2 linked regions of the Lepisosteus oculatus genome follow. The protein of the gene in region 2 purifies or fractionates together with the protein of the main gene of each other region. This does not show direct contact. Links are inferred from orthologs where the notes say so. Each region holds a gene or a part of one and is shown on either strand. Other genes may lie near its edges.

What was found.
Region 1: the proteins of ncbp2 (region 2) and phax purify together in Homo sapiens (affinity purification with mass spectrometry; 5 studies listed by BioGRID and IntAct, with this or other methods). This does not show direct contact. The link is inferred for Lepisosteus oculatus from reciprocal best matches to the Homo sapiens genes NCBP2 and PHAX.

Annotation. Positions count from the first base shown.
Region 1 is NC_090698.1:51,420,712-51,430,669, forward strand, and holds the start of phax (phosphorylated adapter RNA export protein), read right to left. Parts: upstream 4,067-9,958; 5' UTR 4,023-4,066; coding exon 3,921-4,022; intron 2,860-3,920; coding exon 2,228-2,859; intron 1-2,227. Other genes in the region: aldh7a1 (alpha-aminoadipic semialdehyde dehydrogenase), read left to right, coding at 5,422-5,613, 7,295-7,348, 8,557-8,622, 9,205-9,285. UniProt on the Homo sapiens protein: A phosphoprotein adapter involved in the XPO1-mediated U snRNA export from the nucleus.
Region 2 is NC_090708.1:2,220,844-2,230,996, reverse strand, and holds ncbp2 (nuclear cap-binding protein subunit 2), read right to left. Parts: upstream 3,886-10,153; 5' UTR 3,533-3,885; coding exon 3,458-3,532; intron 3,162-3,457; coding exon 2,980-3,161; intron 2,402-2,979; coding exon 2,263-2,401; intron 1,886-2,262; coding exon 1,787-1,885; 3' UTR 1,465-1,786; downstream 1-1,464. Other genes in the region: protein NCBP2AS2-like, read left to right, coding at 4,191-4,514; meltf (melanotransferrin), read right to left, coding at 7,615-7,685, 8,046-8,235, 8,467-8,654, 9,026-9,093, 9,994-10,150. UniProt on the Homo sapiens protein: Component of the cap-binding complex (CBC), which binds co-transcriptionally to the 5' cap of pre-mRNAs and is involved in various processes such as pre-mRNA splicing, translation regulation, nonsense-mediated mRNA decay, RNA-mediated gene silencing (RNAi) by microRNAs (miRNAs) and mRNA export.

The sequences.
Region 1 (9,958 bases), on a different chromosome or scaffold from region 2:
TAATGATTTGCCATCATAAACGCCTGTTTTGTTCTATATGTAGCCTCCATTAGCTCAGTGTTTCCTATTTTGTATTTGTAGCTCATGTTTTGCTATCTGCATGAAAATTCCTGCACTTGTCTACATTAACCATCATCTGCGTCAGCCAGGTGTTCCCATTTTCCCCCCTATTTCAAATTCAAATCTTAGTCACCACTTTTATGTTACTGAGATTTTTTTTCCCCCAATAAAAAAAGCAGTGAAGAATCTGATTCTGAGTATATCCTATGACTTCTAAGAGCAAAGTTTTGACTGTAGTTTGCTTTTGTATTATATACTAGGATTACCTGTCAAATAGAAGACTTTATGGTTGTAAAATATTAGTGTTTGTTTTGCCAGCTCCACCATTTTGTGTTTTATAGATTAGTAACCTTTACTTTTCCAACCTTTTTTCAATGTACATTGTCATCTGTCAAGGTCCAAGTGCAACTATTTATGAAATAAGAAAACTGAGTACAAGGGACTAGTCCCTGCTCAAGAAGGCATGACAGGAGACACCAATAGCTTAGAAGAAGACAAGCCCCAAACCCTAAACTACAATACCTGGGAGAGATCACAGTCTGATACTGGAAGCCCAAACTGCCAACTTCTCATTTGTCAATGAAATTTTTTGGGGCACATCAAATCAGATCATGTTAAACTTGTTTTGATTCACAACCCAGTGTCATACAACAGTGATACAGTCAAGAAAACACATATACGTGTTTAATTAATTGCACGTTAAGAGCAGATGCCGGATTGGATCCTATTGCCACTGTTCTAACATTAAAGAGAAATTATCTCTGGGAGAACATCAGAAAATAAATTTCAATAAACTTAGAAAGGCACTGTCCCAAGCAGATTTCAGAAGTTCTTGAGTCATAAACAAATCCACTAATTTATTATTTCAGGGGTCCTCATTTTGTCTCTTTGCCATTTATATATTGTCTACTTAAAAATGAATTTATTTAAATTGACTTAAGACAGTGAATAATTACAGTAATAACACAATTGTTTCAAATTTAACAAAATAAATCTGCTAAAGGGGAATTTTGACTATAAAATCAGAAATATTTGACTTTCCCTACAATACTGAATTGCTTTCAATGCGTGTTGTTTGCATGTTGTTTACTTTAGCGAACTAAAAAAAATCATTAAAATGATTTAAAAATCATTTAAAAAGACACCAAAATGTTATAAAAATGTAAAAAAAATAAATAAAACAATTCAAAATAAATACAATTATTACTACTGCAAAGGGTTCAGGAATATCAAAGGTGCCTTACAGGAACAGGCCAATTGATTATGATGTGTGTTTGTGTTTCATATGCTTCAGCAAATTTTATACCGTATGTTTACAACAAACGAAATAAAGGGCTTTCTGATTAAAAAAAGCCCAGGAAAAAGTTTCATTTACATTAAAAAAGAGCCTATATACAACAGTAGATAGTATACTGTATACATTTCTCATAGAATTGTGTGCTTAGTGAGTTCATAGGGAAAGAGGACCAGACAAGCCTGTGTCCCTTGAGGGCAGGCACTGAGGGCTCCCGCACTATTCAAACTCATTCCTCAGTCCTGCTCTCGCTGCAACACACAGCAAAAGTGAAACAGAGATACATCATGAGGTACTTATGAATAAAAACAAGCATATCAGCATAGCCCAGCCCCTAGTGTTACACGTGAAGGAGCCCGTCAGTGAATCAAAGAGTACGATTTCCCAACTCAAACCTGGAAGCAGTAACTGAACTTCGCCAACTCTGAAGAGCAACATTAAAATGTTACCAGAATACATCTTGTTTTTCAAAGCTTTGAGCCTAAGCTTTGAGGGGTGTAACCCCGGCGTCCTGGCCAAATTTCCCATTGGCCTTACCAATCATGGCCTCCTAATAATCCCCATCTATGAATTGGCTTCATTACCCTGCTCTCCTCCCCACTGATAGCTGGTGTGTGGTGAGCACTCTGGCGCACTATGGCTGCCGTCGCATCATCCAGGTGGGGCTGCACATTGGTGGTGGTGGTGGAGGGGAGTCCCCATTACTTGTAAAGCGCTTTGAGTGGTGTCCAGAAAAGTGCTATATAAGTGTAAGCAATTATTATTATTATTATTAAAAAGTTTAAATAAAAAACTAAGGGCTACAATTCAGGTTTTAACTAAAGGAACTCTTAAAACACCAGAGCAACACAGAAGCTCAAAGGGGCACCTGACCTGTGGGCGATTTCCTCTGCCACTCTGTCCTCGGGGTCGTCCTCGGTGAGTTCGAATCGACCCTTGTAGTCCATCTCCTCCTTCTCGCCCAGCCTCTCCTTAACTGGACGTTTCCTCTTGAGGTGGGCGCCCCCGTTCCCCTCCTCAGCCTTGTGCTCCTTCTTGTCGTGCTGCATGTAATCCTCCAGCTCCTCGTCCAGCTTGGCAGCCTCCTCCGACTCCTGCTGCTGTCGCTCCCTTTCCATCATTTTGCGGGCCAGCAGGAAGTTGTACGTCTCCGACTGCCGACTGCTCATGCTGATGCCACCCTCCATGCCCAATATACCCAACTCCGCCGCCACCACCTCCTGGCTCTGCTCCTGCACGACGGCGCCCCAGATGTTGTTCACCTTGCAGCTCGGAGGCTTCTGGGGGGCGAGGGGGCCCGGCACAGGCAGCTTCACAGGAGGCGGATGGGCACATTTCTGGCGTTTCCTCTTCCAGATGGCCCGGTCTTCATCGGAATCCGACTCGCTGTTGTCGCTGGAGTCTAGCCCTGCCGTGCTGCGGTAACTCGTGACAGAGGTGGGGGCCTGGCGCGGCTCCGATCTGCTCTGGAAAGCCTGGCTGTTCAAGGCTGGGGGCTGCAGTTTCTGCAGAAAGAAGGTCAGAAATAATGCACGGGACACATTGGGGTTATGTAGTACTTTCTTTACTCTAAACACAACTTTGCTTGGAACTTCATTATACAGGACAAAAGTACTACATGCAGTGTTCAGCATTAGGGGAAGATGTAAAAATGTCACCAATAAACCTAAGACTTAAAAGTATATCAAACAGAAAAACAAAATCAATAAGTAGAAAGTATTTATGAAACAGGCACAAAATATAAATCATCCAAAAAAACTTGTCCCCCCCCCCATCACTGGAAACTTACAGTTGCTATACAACCTTGATATACACTGGTAGTAAAAGGTTATGTTTTTAGAGAATCACACCCAAGAAGAATCAGCATGAGTTACAGATGTATAGCGACGTACCGTGTGCGTTTGCTGCCATGTGAAATAAACTTTTCGCATTGTAACAGGCCTGTCTGCCTTCTTAATAATCACACTCGAGTGCAGTCCAGACATTTTAGCAGTGTATAACTGTTTTTCCAAACAGTTATCATCTTGTCGGCATCTGCGCCAACAATTGTGGATGGCTGATCATATTATTTAATCTTCTTCAGACCCATTACAGTTCATTTGCTCTACACCACTAGCCAGATATCTTCCAGATACAGACCGCAGACGCTAAGCAAACCTGCGTCAATACCTGAATAGGAGAGTTTTAAATAAAAATAAATCACATTTGCAGCCGTAAACTACAGAATTACGTGACTTCTTGGTAAAGCGAATGACACTCTGGATTGATTTTGCTGTAACTTCAAATTTAAAACTGGAATCCAAAACAATCACTAAACATGCATGTAATAACTTCAACTTAAATATCCTCACGAGTTTACCGATTTTAGCCTTTAAATCTCGTAATAAAAAAATGTACACAGCTGAGTTCCTTTCACGTATAAATTAAAACGAAAACGTTGCTACCTCCTTAACAGCAAAGCAACCAAGGTATATCTAACCGTCAAATAAGGTAAAACCGAAATTACCTTCTCTGAGAACCAAAACGCGGTATATTTCACTCTTAAACATATTTCAACAAAACTTACCTGCATTTGTTCATCCGCAGCAACTCCCATTTCCGAATCAGAGTTAGAACTACAGAGCTCACCATCTTCGAGATCTTCCATCCTATCCGCACTCACCGCCATTTCCACTAACCCGGCAATAAAACAGCTCCCTCGGGCCGCAGGAACACCTTCCTGTGTCACTCGGCCTCCGGAACAGGAGGCCGGTCGATGTCACGGCGCCTCCTGCTGTTCTACAAGACAAACCGCTCACGTTAGCAAAGCCCGTCCAGATCGCGGGGAGGAGACGCAAATGTGAAAACACTCCTTCTGATTCACATCACCACATAATCTGCTTTTGTCGCGAAAGGGATCTGTTTGCTTTAATTAATCAGTTTAAGACATTCACCTGAATTTGGTTTGGGGCCGAATCCAGTCCAATAATATATTTTTTGTTACGTGATAACCCAGAACATTATTTTAAACGGGGTTTTATTAGCACTAGTACAGTTTTAACATTACTTGCTCTTATTTAATTTCTGTAGTCTTTAACTGTACGTTCCCAACATTATCTAGACTGAGGTCATAGACAAGCCAACATAAACATAAATATTCTTCCTAAGTAGTATTTTCAAGCTCAGTGTCTCCATCTTATGTTTGCAGTGTCCACTCAGTTGCTTACACTTTTTGATTTTATGCCACCTATAACACCTTCAACTGAATAATAAAAGTCAGATTCTAGTTAATGTTTTACTTGGGTGATGGTGGATTGTAACTTTGCATTTTACACTTTGTTACTTATTTTAACACCCCACACGCACGCACCCGACGACGTTAAGTGTAGACGAAATGTTAAAAACTGCAAAATAAATTCGGACAATGTATTCGCTTGGTTGCAAAATTGCATTGACCGTCTAGTTATCAAAGGTTAAATGTATAGAAAAAAAACATACAGATTGCATATATTGGATCAATTCATCTATTTTGATGTGGAAAAAAAACATAACAATTATTTAAAAAAACACAAGCTAGCAGAGGATGGTTTCGATCCATCGACCTCTGGGTTATGGGCCCAGCACGCTTCCGCTGCGCCACTCTGCTGCTCGCTAAAAAGCTGTCGTCAATCGGATTTATCAGTGCTGCTCTGGCCTTCTGGGGGCACTATCGAGTCAAGGATCAAAACGTTAGCACATTTCTTTAACTTCTAACCGTAACGAGCAATAATGACATCCTATTGCTGCGGGGGTAAAAGTGTTTTGTGTTATCCGAACAAAAAAAAAACAGAAATATATGATCATGACTTCAGCTCACAGCCTGGTGATTTCACAGAAACGTGTCACCCAACATTTTACGTGCTCAGAGAAAACTGACTTGCGTGTTGCGTAAGCTCCTGCACGTAAAGGACGCAGAAGGGCTGCAAAGCCAGCGCTGCTGGCGACAGATGGGTAGAGCCTGTATCTCACCAATCATCGCCTCCGCTTCGGGGGGCTGGGCTGCACAGCACTGTCTGCGCTGAACTTGGCGTCGGTGCTCTGTTACAGCCATGCAGCTTATTGCTCTAACTGCTGTAAAGCACTTGTCCCTCAGGAGAAAAGTCCTTTTCCGCGGTTTCCGACAAACGGCAACCATGTCCACACTCCTGATCAACCAGCCGAAATACTCCTGGCTCAAAGAACTAGGCCTAAAGGAGGAAAATGCCGGAGTTTACAATGGAGCGTGGGGAGGGAAGGGAGAGGTAAGACGCGAAGAGATTTAAGTGGCATTAGGTAGCAAGGGCAGCCAATAGCAATGCTTTGCTAAAAATACTTATGAAGATGGCTGCAAATCGAGACTGTCCCATTCACTTAAACGTTTCTACTGTTATTTATTTAAAATTTAATCCACTCGATGCTAAGATACAGAAAAACCGTTTAATGTATTAATATCCTAAATGAGATCTTAAAAATGCATTGTAAAATTTTAACATAGCATCCCTCCACTTAAAATTACCTGCATTGAGCTACGTATCATAAAGTTCTGCTGCTTTTTTGTTTCTTCGATATAAAATGTCAACATAAACCTAGGCCTTTGTAATAGTTTCTTCAAACTAATACTATCTCGTGCGGTGTATGTTTATTTCTTTTTTCGTGTAACATTTTGAAAATGTTTATATAAAAACAAATTCTGCCAGGTGTTTCCCAGTTTTATTAACTTATTTTAAAATTTCCCTTAAATGTACCACAGTATTTGCTTATTCTTCTTTTTCTATTATATGTGAGTTTGATTTGCGTGCTAACTATACCAAGATCGAGATCATTGATATAAATTAGAAAGAGCAGTGGTGCTAGTACAAATACAGTATCTGCAGCACTTGGCTAATTATATCTTCCGAATCGGAGGATTTATTAATTCTTATTTGTACTACTCCCTATCCATTTACCAGTTCTGAATCCCACAAAACATGCATTGTCTTGCATATCAATTGGAATTTATATAAAAGAAATAAGACTTATTGGCTTACTTGGTTTGGTTCTGATGCCCTTTTTATTCCCTTCTTGTTAATGGGCTATGAATAACATTTCTTGTGTCCTAAAGTAGAATCGGTAGAATTCCATATGACTGTGGGGATTTAAGTGCGTTTAATAGCTATAACAATTCTCTCTGTTCTGTGCTAAAGCTGCATAACAGAAGTTTGACTTTGCTCAGCCAGAGGCATGTTGACAGGTTGTCTTAACCTATCAGCCATATCACTAGCCAGCAGCCATATCACTCTGCAACTCACAACTGGCACCCCACTGAGGTTAAGCAGGTGTGAGCCTGGCCAGTACCTGGACGGGAGCCCTCCTAGGAAAAACTAAGGTTGCTGCTGGAAGAGGTGTTAGTGGGGCCAGCAGGGGGCGCTCACCCTGCGGTCCACGTGGGTCCTAATGCCCCAGTATAGTGATGGGGACACTATACTGTAAACAGGTGCCGTCCTTCGGATGAGATGTAAAACCGAGGTCCTGGCTCTCTGTGGTCATTAAAAATCCCAGGCTGTTTTATGAAAAGAGTAGGTGTCCCGGTGTCCTGGCCTCTTAATAATCCCCGTCTATGAATTGGCTTCATTCTGCTCTCCTCCCCACTGATAGCTGGTGTGCGGTGTGCGGTGAGCGTTCTGGGGAGCCACCATTAGTGGAGCTCAAGCGCTATATAAGTGTAAGCAATTATTATTATTATTATTATTAATGAACACCTGAGGGAAATCTCCATTTATGTTAGCCATAACCCGCCATAACCCGTCATTGTCTAAAAACATCCAGTTTAGAGGTTTACTTGTGGTGTTAAGCTTACATGTGATTAGTTCTTCTAGATTAACTATATTATGTGCTATTTGTTAAAGATGCACTGAAAATAGTATGCTTTAAAGATGTAGGATATAATTAATATTGTCTTTCTAGGTCATCACTTCTTATTGCCCTGCCAACAATGAACCCATTGCAAGAGTCCGACAGGTAATTTCAGCCTCATTCTCTTAATGCTTATATCTATCCTGGTGGATGTCATGGTTGAAAGCTGTGTTCTGTGCATAAATATATATCCAAGGCCATTTACTTTAGGGACAGATATATATTACTTACCAGTCTGATAGCATTTGAAGTCGACTTATTGCATAAACCTTTGTCCTCTGGATGACCTTGCTTACTATAATGCCAAACTGACAGATAGATTTAGTTATAATACATTTCTTATTTATTAAAGGATGAAAACAAAAAAATATATAACAGCATTTTGACATAAACTCTTGAGCAAAGAAACTGTATTTTTGGAGATTCACAGATGGCAAAACACCTTATTGAGCTTAATGTTCACAGATGCTACTGAATATTAATTATTTTTACTAAATGTCTTGTTAATTTTTAAAGTAATTCTTTATTTAGTTTGTCACTGTAATGGATTACTTTTTAAAGTAACTTTCCCAAGCAATGTTTGTACCTTTCCTTCACAGCAATGTAGGCATAGCACCACATTCTACTTCCTCTATTACATTCTGTGACTATTTGGAAAAGTACTTTTCTCAGAAATCCCTCAAAGGGCTTTAAACATTTATTTATGTTATTGAACTGAATTTGCAAATTTCTGCCTACACCTCATTCCTAGATTAATTTCTGTTCATGTAATAAATGTCCTTTTTATTCTGTCTTGCGGTCTGTCATCATTAGTGAATGCAGTTAAAAATTAACTGTTACTGTCTTGTCACAGATGAGCTCCATTGCAACAGTTTAAAAATTGTGCAATCTTCCTCTTATCCTCTCAACATTTCAGTTTCTACGTAAAATCTTTTTAGGGTCATTGTTTAATATATGGAGGCTTATCTCATTTAAAAATATTTTGTGAATGTTACTCAACTTTCCATTTAGTTTGCCTAAAAAAAGGGATGGATAATTCAAAAAAGGGTTTACTTAACAATTCATACAAAAAGTAAGTAAAACACAAGCATGGGAAAATATTTCACATATCCCAGATGTACCTGGTACATTCAACAACAATTGGAACAGAACTTTTCCAGAGTTTGAGTGAATAGTTTGGAAAGTTTTTTTGTGTTTGAGAATAAAGGGCGCTTTGGAGGTAAATAATTCTGAGCATGCTACTTTGAGTGAAACTCACTTGGCTGTGAACATTGTGATGGTACTTAGGATTCTTTTTTGTGCTTAATTTCAAGGCCACGATGGCAGAGTATGAAGAGACCGTGAACAAGGCAAAAGAAGCCTGGAAAGTGTGGGCAGATGTAAGTACTGTCAGTAAAGCATTCTAAGGATAAACCAGAAAGACACACTTGTCGTGTTACTGTCAGAAACACTCAGTGTAGAAAAGAATCCACAAACACATGTGATGCGTTCAAAATAATAGGATGTGTATGGTGGATTAATACAAGTAATTAGTTGTGAAATTTTCAAATTGCCATCACAGGTCTTTGCTTGTTTATTATCTATTCATCACCACAACAAATTCAGCAGCATGAGATTACCTCTCTCCTCTTGAAGAAAAGCAAAAACAGAAGAGAGCTACAGCATGTATTTAGTACACCTTCAAACTAGTAATTCTAAATGCTAGCTGATGTATGAACAATCCTTTTTTTCCCATTTTCATTATTTTTTTAAAGGAAATATCTATATTGTTATTGTCAAGTATGATCCTTCAAAAAAACATTAGTCTGACTTAAACAAAACTAAAATGTAGTGCTGAAAGTTAAATTTTTTGAAATTATTTTTAAATAGTGTGTCTTGGTGTTGGTTCTTTACAAGGTTTGTAAACATATATTCATACTGTTTAAATGTGATAACTGAAAGTCATTTCCTTTTTTACATAGATTCCAGCTCCTAAACGGGGAGAAATTGTAAGACAAATAGGAGATGCTTTAAGGAAGAAGATTAAAATTCTGGGTAGCTTGGTAAGAACTTTTGAGAAGCATCTACTAACTTTATTCTGACATATTCAAAAATAAGGGTTAGCTTTTCCTCAAGACAGTTCTTTCCTGTCCTGGTGTGTTTAAAACATACAGAGATAGGAAAAGCAATATTTTGCTCTTAACATCACATTGTTCTGGATGAAAAGGTCTGTTTACATTCTATTCCTGTTTAACGTTAATGCAGTCGAACGTTAATTAAAAAAAGTTTTTAAAGCCAAGAATTCAAAGTCTTCAAAGGCGCTGACAAAGTCAACACTGCAGACTTTTTCAGAATAAACAGTAAAATATGAACCCGAGAACACAAGTGGACACTTAGAAGGAATAATGCTTTTAATACTGTGAACAGGAGCTACTTTTTTACCCAAAGGGTTGTGGATGTAAGACGCTCCCCAGCCATCCTTGGATCAGTTTGCTCCTAGATACCAAATGGGCTAGAGGTCTGAATGGTCTCTGCTCATTTGTTACCCTTCATAAGTCTGAAGTATATCTTAGAGCAATTGATTGATTTTTAATACTGGAAGTTAGGAAATTCAGAGGTTGAATGTTGTAGATTCACTATCTTTAAAACATGAAGGGCAGACATGTTGCTATGACCAAATACTTCAGCCATTTCAGTGTGTGATGTTAGATACTATGGATGCTATGTTGTCCAACA
Region 2 (10,153 bases):
GGTCATACCACCTTTATACTGCTTTCGTTTAAAACTGTCATGTTTCATATTGAAAACTACCGCTTTGTATTTCTGTTCACATTTTCTGTGATTTTTTTTTTGTTTGGCATTTGTTTTAAATAGTCAATTAAATCCAGTTCTAGATCTGAGTTTTCGTGTGTTCTTTTTGCACCAGTACAGTGTATTCAAACCGAAAGCCCTTTCAAAAACGTGTTGAGTCAAATCTGTTCAATGGCCGCTCCGTAAGCTGCTGCCAGCACTTGAAGGACATGATATACAGTATGAAGAAACCTTAGCAACTCAGGTTATTAGTATAAGAGGATACTTTTGTATTGCACTAACTAAAGAATGCTAAAAACTGGATTAGACATAGGAGGCACTGTAGATGAACTTGGTATCAAGGCATAACTTTCCCCCCATCCACCTAGAAAAAAGGGTCAAGGTGGGACTACATCCTGGATAGGACAATGTCATAAATGTATATCGGGCCTTTAAAAGTAGCTCCTCAAAGTGCCTTTTACGAAAAGGGAAAAATAAATTAAAGATCTAAGAAGAAAAAATGACCATAAGGGACTAGAAACAGTAGATGCAATGAGCAAATGCAGCCAGATGCCACTTAAATTAAAGCCTTGCTGAAGAAGCTTGACTTGAATGCACTCTGAATATTAATATCAATATTAATAATATCTGCACAATTGGAAATATTTAAATGCTGACTAGAGGGGGGGGCAGTATCAAGCTGGAGGAACACCAGACTTGAAGACCAAACTACAGGACTGAAACCCCCAAGAGAGAGACAAAGTGTCCATCACTGAGACACCGGTCTGGCACACAAGACAATCCAGAAATCTGCAATCTGCAATTCAACTAGTCAACATGTCGTTGGAGGGTGGAGGAAAGCTCAGAGAACATTCCGAGACATGGAGAAAATGGAAAAAAAATTGCAGAAATACAAATGACAATCAAAAGCAAAACCCACTGACAAAATAATGGTCTTCAGGTCCCTAAATTTCAGGGTATAATGACATGTTAATGTTCTGAAAGTAACATCAGGTTTTACCTAAAGACCATGACATACATGAGCAGTACTTTTAATACTTTTAGGAAAGCACTTAAGCTGAGGAAAAAACTAGAGCAATTTTAAAAATGCTTGTCCTTTAAATGAGAAAGTACATCCAGGACTTTTAACTTACATTTATCAGATTTTTGATTGTTTAGCGGTCAAGGAATGTGTGTAGGGTAAAATTAGAATCTGAATGAACTAATATCATTAATTCCAAAATTTTCCATTAACAAAGTTTTCCTTTCCAAGAAATGTGTGATGCCTTTTTTACACCAAGGGAAAGCAAATATAAAATACTTCTAAACATGCTCCTTTCATCTAATTTTTGCATTTCATTTTAAACAGTAGAGCAAATGGTGCACACATTGTTACTGAATACCAATACCAATGTTAAAAAAAGATTTTAAACACAAAATTGAAAATATTTAATGTTTCCATAAATGTTATACATAGTATACAGATCCAACAGAAACGCTCATAGTTACAAATGAAACTGGATTGGAAAAATAAGCCTTAAGGCAAAACTGGCCAAAATGGCAGATGCCTTAACCAGCTTCTCCTGCTTATTTGTGATTTTCAAAATGTACGAAAAGCATGATGTACTTCAGTCAAGTTATCTTAATTTGGTAAAACATTTAATAAAAAGGTGATAAAAGATCAACTTTATCTTTCATTACCTAAATGTACTCAAATACCACCCAATTGTAAATTCTCTACAGAAAACTAGAATTTGTGCGGGGCGTCTGGTGTTCTTTGGAGCTGAGCCAATTTTCCATATCCACCTCGAGCAGGGTCATAATCTTGCCTGTATTCATCTCTGACCTGAAAGAAAAAGAAAAAAATACCTTATTACAATTTTTTAACTGCTTTTCCATAGCCCACCCCCGGCTGGATCATAACCCTGTCTGTATTTATCTCCGTCGGAGAAAAGAAATGTGCTTCTTCACAGACAGCACTGGCCTCCCATCACACTGCGCGAGCCCCTGGTGAACCGAGCCGTGGCTGAGATCCAGCAGTTGCAACGCACTGAACAGACTTGAAGCCAAACAGCTTGAACGTGCATTAACATAAAAAAACACTGTAAAAACTTTAAGAAACACAGAATAACAGATTTGCTCATTTCTAACTTTTCTAATGGTTTTTGTTGTCGTTGCTGTTTCTAATGACAAATACAACGTTGGGCAAGCAAGCAAGCGCACCTGGCCACCTGACTTCCCACGGCCATACTGCCTGCCTTCTTTAAAGCCCGCGTCCCAGTCCGTTCTGATGATCCGGTCGTCCAGCCTGGTGCCGTTGATGTACCGCATGGCGTTCTCCGCGTCCCCACGGGTGTAGTACCTTGCATTGGGGGGGTCAAGGCGTTGCAGCAAACGAAAACGTACAAAATGTGACAAATTGCCTATCTCGGGAAGAGGGAGGGAGACAGGCCTTGGATTTCCTTGCTACGGCGGCCCAGGCACAGCGAGGTGAACCTCCTGCACCCCCCTCTCGATCCTCCCTTCTCCGTGACACTGAAAACATTACATTACATTTCTTCGCCTGGCAGACGCCTTTACCCACAGTGAATTACAACAGCATGCCGTGAAGGCGCAAAGGGTGCAGATAACAGTAACACTACAGAAGACTCCACCGTGCCATTTAACTCCTGGGATATTGCTCTCAAGTAAGAAGTCTCTGTGTTGCACGTCAGATTGTATAAAACATTAAAAATGTAAAACGTTTAAGACGCGTCACTACTCTATAAATATACAGTCAGAACATTTAAATAAATATTCCATCTAGTATATCAATTCTGTACAATAAATATACATGCACCGGATAGCTGCATTAAAAAGGAGTTACAACTCCAGAATTACCAATATCCAAAAAGCCGAAAGACAGGTCAGCAATCGCGACTGTTCTGTGCAAAAGGATACTCGACGAAGCAGAAGCCACAAGCGGTCTTCTTCACCTTGTCCAGACCCATGATGATTCTCTTCACGTCGCCGCTCTTCGAGAACAGCTCATACACCTGCTCCTCCGTCGTGTAAAAGGACAGGTTTCCCACGTAGAGGGTGTTGCTCGCCCGCAGGAGCCGTTCCTGTTCGTGGCGATTACCCTGGAGACAAAGTTCCACTTCACACTGTTTGTCGTTCCCTCCATCTCGCTACCGCAACCTTTCTTAAACTTACCTAACGAACGGTACTTTCATCTCTGCTCGATACCACGGCCGGGTAGCGTCCGAAACACAACTCTGAACACGACTGAGGTGCAAATCAAACTAACTTTTAATACACCTAATTACCAGAACCTGTTTACGCCTTGCATCTGTGTTCCTGCTTCGGCGTGTTAAATCCTGTTTTCCTAACAAAAACGCACAACGTTAAGAGTAATACTAAAGTTTTTTCACCTTACCTTGAAATGTTGGTCTCTGTACTGGCTTATATCGACGTAAGAGTCGCTGAGGAGTGCGTTTAATTGAATAGACATCGTAAAAGAACTGTAACAAAATCCACACAGAAACAAACCAACAGGGCACCCACACAAACAGCAAGACTCCCAGAACGCCGCCTTCCGGTGCGGGAGAGCCAATCAAATAAAGCTTCCGGTCCGTACAGTAAGGGCGACCGTGCGGAAACAAGGGCGGCCCGTATCGGTGACCATACAGCTCTCAATTTTCTTATATTGTTTTACTGTTTATTTGTTTTTATATTAATATAACCACAATAAGAGAGAAGACAAAATGTACGATTGTGAGAACACAGAGTTACTGTAGGCTTTCACGAGGGTTACCAGCAGCTATTTAAATGCTGCTTTTAAGTGTTTAGATTTCGATCGCACTAATAAATGCAATCATTGAATAATAATAAAGGACGTCCCTTCTTCAAGTTTATTTCATTTTCAGTTGTTTTCGTTAATCACATAAAGCATTACTCAGTAGAATCCGATACCTTATTAGCAGCTTCAACAGGGGGACGGTTGCGGTGCAAGACCGGAAATCAGAGCTTTTCAGCCGGCAGATCTTTCTGGTAGGAACATTGAAACTGCTTTCAATTTATTTGTGAGTATAACGCCGCGCAACAAATTTATTAACCGTCTTTTCCGTTGGCTCTCGTCGTCTGCAGGTCCCCGGATCCCTGGCTTGAAGATGGTTTTGAGGCGCCTGCTGTTCACCCTGTTGAACAACGCGCAAGTGATCGAGAAGCTCTCCGAGTCTCGCCCTATCCGCCGGGCGGCGCAGATCACGGCCTACGCCATCACCAAGGCGCAGATCAGCGGCAGGGACGCGGCGTCCAGGCTGCTCAAGTCGGACACCGTCCGCCAGGTGCGAGAGGAGACGGCCGGGAGGATGCCGAGGGACGTGGGCGAACTGGGAAGGAGAGTCGGGAGACTGGGGCAGATGTTCGTCAGAGAGGTCAAGGAAGGCGTGAGGGACGCCTCCCGACAGCTCAAAAACAAGGACAAACAGTGAGGGCTTGCGGAACCGTGGACTTCTGAATTGACCTGTAATTATCTCAGTAGCTGCTGAAATCCATGTCGTTTTACCACCGGGAGATGTGTCGTTTTCCACACTGTAATTAAGCGGTATTTGAATTATGGAGGCGACACTGCGGGGAAAGTAATGAAGACGACGACTTTCTGTTCAGCTCACGGGTCCAAACTCCCGTTTTGACGGCTAGGATGAAAAATATCCGAGACGTATTTTTGCGAGTCTGTGAACGTTACAAATCAACGCAATTAAAAAAAATAAATAACCCGCACCTTGTCGTAAACTGTAAACACAATGCCACAGAACGTCGAAAGAAGCAATCCCGTTATGTAAGATATGCATATTGTTCATTTTAACTTTCATTGATAAACACTGTATCGGGTCTGGTGTGTAATGTAGATGAGAAGATTAAATTGAAAAGAGTGTTTTCATGAAGTATTTGCCTTGTTTTTATGGACTGCAGCTCTTGTCAGTCAACTGTGTACGACTTTCATGGACTGGTCGCTACTGTCGGCAGAGGAAAGTGTACAAGTTTCCATCCGACATATGTTTTTTTTTTAAGGGGGTTGGTTATTTGTCGAGCCAAAGTACATAAACCACCTTCATTTTTTTAAAAATTAAATATATACCCACAGAGCCCACCAAACTCAGTGTCTGGGACTTGAAAAGGGGAATAAATAATGCGGTGTTCCTAACTTTTCTTGCTCCGTTTTATCCAAACCCATTGTAGTTCTCCTACTTCGCCACAAGATGGCCGGGAGTCTGGAAAAAAACTACCCGAGTCCTGTTTTCGGACCCCGACACCGTAGTGTTTGCTGGAAGACTGCCACTTCTCCCTAGACAGACAGGCAATACCGAGGCCGAAACAGAACCGAAGTTCTGTAAAGCGCTTTGAGAAGGTGCTATATAAAATAAAGTGTATTACTATTACTTTCCGTAGATAAGTTGCTTCAGTCCTAACCAAAGCTTTTACTATAGTAAATGCATGTATACTCTTCTCTATTCTTTATAACACATCTCATAGAAATGTTGGCTTTATTAATGTGTAGAACCTCTGTGCTTAATCTCTGCTGGCTTCATCACTTATTATATTTTTCTGGTGCAGCTTCTATTTGTTTTTGCCGTCACAACCCTTGATAACAGGAGGGAAAAGCACTGTCAGCTCCTGTACACTCGTGACTGCAGTATATTGTTAAATTTCACCTAAACATCATTTAGTGATCTTCAGGCTTCTAAGGCTACATTGGTGCACATTATTATTGTCTAGGAAGTGCAAACAGCTTTGTATCCTGTTTTATCTTATCTGTTCTGTTTTATCTGAGGTAAGCTTTCACGTTATTAGGTTCAAAGTTACATCCGCCTGGAAAAGATTTCACGACTGCACTCGGGTGAATGAGGTCTCAGTTTATTTATGAATCATAGTGTGGTTTTTAATCAAAGCTTTATGTACCTATACTTAAGCAGACGCACTGGCCTGGCAACTAAATATTAGTTACAATACAATATTTCATTGAAGAAATCAATATGACCTTTGAAGCAAGCAATAATATTCAAAGAACAGGGAGTCAGTACATATACACTGATATGGTATCTGAGCACCTTATAAAAATAAATCTTTGTTCAATAATACACAAAGAAACTCTGCAGAAAACATTTTGGAAAGAAATGCCATACTGAAAGGACAATAATGCAGCCTAGAGGGAATACTACACCTGATTATAGTACAGACTTGGTCAGTAAAAGCTCAGAATTATTATGAAGGCATTGTGCAGCAGAGAACTCGGACTTTCCATGTCTTTGATCATTCCAGAAATTAAAACACATGGGTTTTACGGTGATGCCAGCTGAAGTGATTTCCTGACAGAGAAACATGCAAAGTACTACTTTTTAAACTGGCATGATCTTCCCAAAGTTACCAGCGGTCTCAATCAAGCAGTAGGTATGGAGTAATGGATGCTGTGTCATGCTCTCATAGCTGTGAAGGTAGAGAGACAGAATTCCTATCAATCTGACCTTCAGGTATTAGTTCACTGGGAAGCTGTGATTCTGCTTTGTAGAAATAGGCAACTAAGTAAATCACATTTGAAAGCTAAGAGAGACATTTTCTGCCTCACGTCTGTGACCTCCCAAAACAATAAGCAAAGTCTTCCTCAGCTGCTCTGCTCATAGGAATTTACACTCCACATTCCAGACACCCAGGTCTAAATTAGTTTAATCTTAGTTCTGCACTGAGCAAATCACTGTTGCCATTAAGCGTGTGTTTAACAGCGTTCTTTCTGAGGTTTGGGGGGAACACACTGACACGGCAGGTACATGCAGAAAACAGCACAGGCTGTCGCCCTCCTGCCTGTGTCTGCAGAAAGAAACAAGTGTGAATTTAAGCAGCACGGCCCTGTTGCTTCGTTGCTGCTTCGTTGCTGGCTTGGCGTTAGTTTATCAAGGCGAGACAGAAAAGTGCAGGTCCCAGCACATTCCAAGACACAGAGAGCACCCCAAGAAGATAAGATTATGTAACAGGCAATGCATATGCACTGATATGGCAACTGCCTTTAGACAACAAAGGACAAAGTTTTTAAATATGACTACACATCTGTAGGATATGATATAAGTCTGCAGGAGCTTGACAAAGAGGCTCCAGATGTAACAGGCAAAGCATATGCACTGATATGGCAACTGCCTTCAGATGCTAAGGATCACAGCCAGGCAACATGCACCAGCATGGGACCTGCCTGCCTGGAGCTTCCTGTGGCACTGTGGAAGGACTGGAGAGGTAGGAGGGGGATTAATGATTGTGGACAGACCCTCTTTCCCAAAACCTGCCACCTCCTTCCCTCAGGGTGATCAACACACCTGAGGCACGAGAATCCCTGGATTTAAACATTCGAGACGATTTGGACTGGGGGTGGAGTGTCCAGCCCAGCTACAAATTGAGAGAAAAAAAAACATTTGGCACATTGAAAAATAGGACCCTAAAATCCCTGCAAATTTGCTATCTGAATCACTGAATAACGATTCTTAAAAATTGTCCAAGAATCAGTGAGACGTGGTGTTTCTTTGTCACTGTCTTCCCAGGAAAGTAGGTTTATATGTTGAAGATGATCAAGAGGAAGCCGAGTCCCACTACAAGCACCGTGGACACTGAGGAGACCGCTCCTGGCAAACAAACAGAGAGGGGTTAGAGCACATGAACAGCTCCATCTTCCAACCTGGTCATTTGCCGGGCTTCGGCCAGAGAAAAGCCTCAATTTACTACCCTTCCAGTAAAGCTTCTCTCTCATCAACTGCAGAGCTTTGATCACGGTTGTAAAAATGATTCTAATTTCATGCATTAAAAAAAGGAAATTATATTCCTGGCTAAGACATAAAAATTACAGGGCAACTGGAAACCACGCAACTCATCATCCTCTCCTGTTCTTGCTCAATCAATCGAGCTCATGAAAGAACTTCGGCCTTCGTACAGATGCAGGCCAAGGCAAGCACTGGCAGCACAGTAGGGCATCGGATCGTTCATACCTGCAGAGTTGCATTCCATCACATTCATGGCGTCCATGTAGCTCTGGCCCAGCCAGTCCGTGTAGGTCCTTTTCTCTCCGACTCCTATCAGGCGGACTGTGGAATCCTTGAAAATCAGATCCGTACCTCCAAAGGCAGAGGAATCGAACATCTTGAATCCGTTCGGATTGTTGTCATCCCCAAAGATGGCCTGCAAGTGAAAGGCTGATCGTTAACGGAACACGATCCGCACAGAGCCTTGCCGGTCAGTCCCGTCAGCAGGAGGCGGATTCACTCCGGACAGACTCAGGCGTGCAGAACTGGAGACGGGGCCTTTCCTGCACGATGACTAAAACCGCGGCTCGCCCAGCCCTGGGCGCCACGAAGCTCAGCTGGTTCACGAGGCCGGGAGGGAGGGGGGCTCCGGGCAGCCATGTCTCACCTGGGCTCTGTCGAGGAGTCCGTACACCGCGTTGGCGTCCGTGTCGGGGCGCACCATGACGGCGTGGGCAGGCACGCGAGCCAGGTTACAGCGCGCGTACTGCGAGACCTCCGCGCGAGCCCCATTGGGACACAGCAGCTGGAAGTCCCTCGACTGCAGGTTGACGGCCCAGAGATCAGTGTTGTGACCTGCCGGACAGGAGGGGCACAGGAGGCGCGTTTGCCGTGAGCCACACGCCGACTTGATGGAGACCAGGGACTCTGGTGGACGGCACTCGATCTGGAGAGCCTGTGTTTCATTTACTTCACTAGTTGTCCTACTTTCACAGAGCTGCTCTGCCTGGACCGCTGTGCACTGTGGTACCAATGTGCAGCAGTGTTGCACGCAGGTGTCTTTCTAGAAGCAGCTGCGAACCGTGGGCACGTGTCAGCGCTCATGGTTTGGGCTGGGACACGCAGGGCCCCACGGGAATGCTGGGAAAGGATTATTTAGGCATTCCTAACGACTGATGGCTTTGTTTGAGGCACGTCCATGCGTGGTCTGATTCTCCGGGACATACCGTCAGTGTTGTCGAAGACCGTGGTGTGCTTCACGAAGGCCACCTCTCCAGCGCTTTCTGATAAACACCTGCAACAGAACCAAGGAGGCACTTTGGGACGTCTATAATGGCGGCAGCATCACTGCAGGGGCCCTGGTGAGGGCAAAGCCTTCATGAAACCTGTCTGGTGAGAATGAACTCTCACACTCGCTGGCACGAAGACGGCATCGGCAGCAGCAGAGCGCACCACCGATCTCACGCTTGTCCCAGAACAATCCCACGCTCGGGTTCAGCACAGACGCTTCCACACCCTCCTGACCCATTTTAGGTTTCCTGTGACGTATTTAAAACTCATCCTTCCTTGCAAGACAGGATGAGACCTTGCACCACGACAGTTCATTCCTCAAATGACCAATACAGAGGCTGAATCAGAAGTCTCAATCCAGAGGACCTAGCCCCACTGAACATCTCCCTGTGAGACACCTGAGATGAGTGGTCAACAGCCCAAAATCAAACAGCACTGCAGCAGAGAAAGAGATCATTGGGAAAGAGTTTCCATCTTAAAAAAAGTTCAAGAAAAACATTTGTATAGGAATTAATATGTATGTGTTAACAGCAATCAATTACACAATAAATTAATGAAGAGTACATTAATTTTCCCCATGGGTCCAGACTTCTGGTACGTGCTGAGTAATAATTGTCAATTATTGGCACTGGTGTTTCCAGTGGTGATCAAAAGGTGTTGATCTTATTTAATTCATGAAAATGAACACAAAGTACACGTGAATCAGAGTGTTCATCCCAGGACTGTGCTGGCTCTTCTTTCTTGCTGAGTGTTTAATTGTACTATGGTGTTTCATTGTTGTTATACTGTATTATTGTCATGTATGTTATATGCTTATGAGCTCTTGATGGGGAAAGACAAATTCCCCTAGGGGCAATAAAGGTGAATTCATTCACTCACTTCAACGGATGCATTCGGTGCCTACCTGAAGGCGCCGCTGTATCCATAGTAACGCTCCAGGTCGCTGCGATCACATTTGTGTTGCCCGGAGACGTCCCCGACGCACAGCTGGCACAGGCTGGGAGGGTAGCCGGGCTGATTGGCTCCGGGAACACAGCTGGAACGGAAGAACTCCCCCGCAGCTG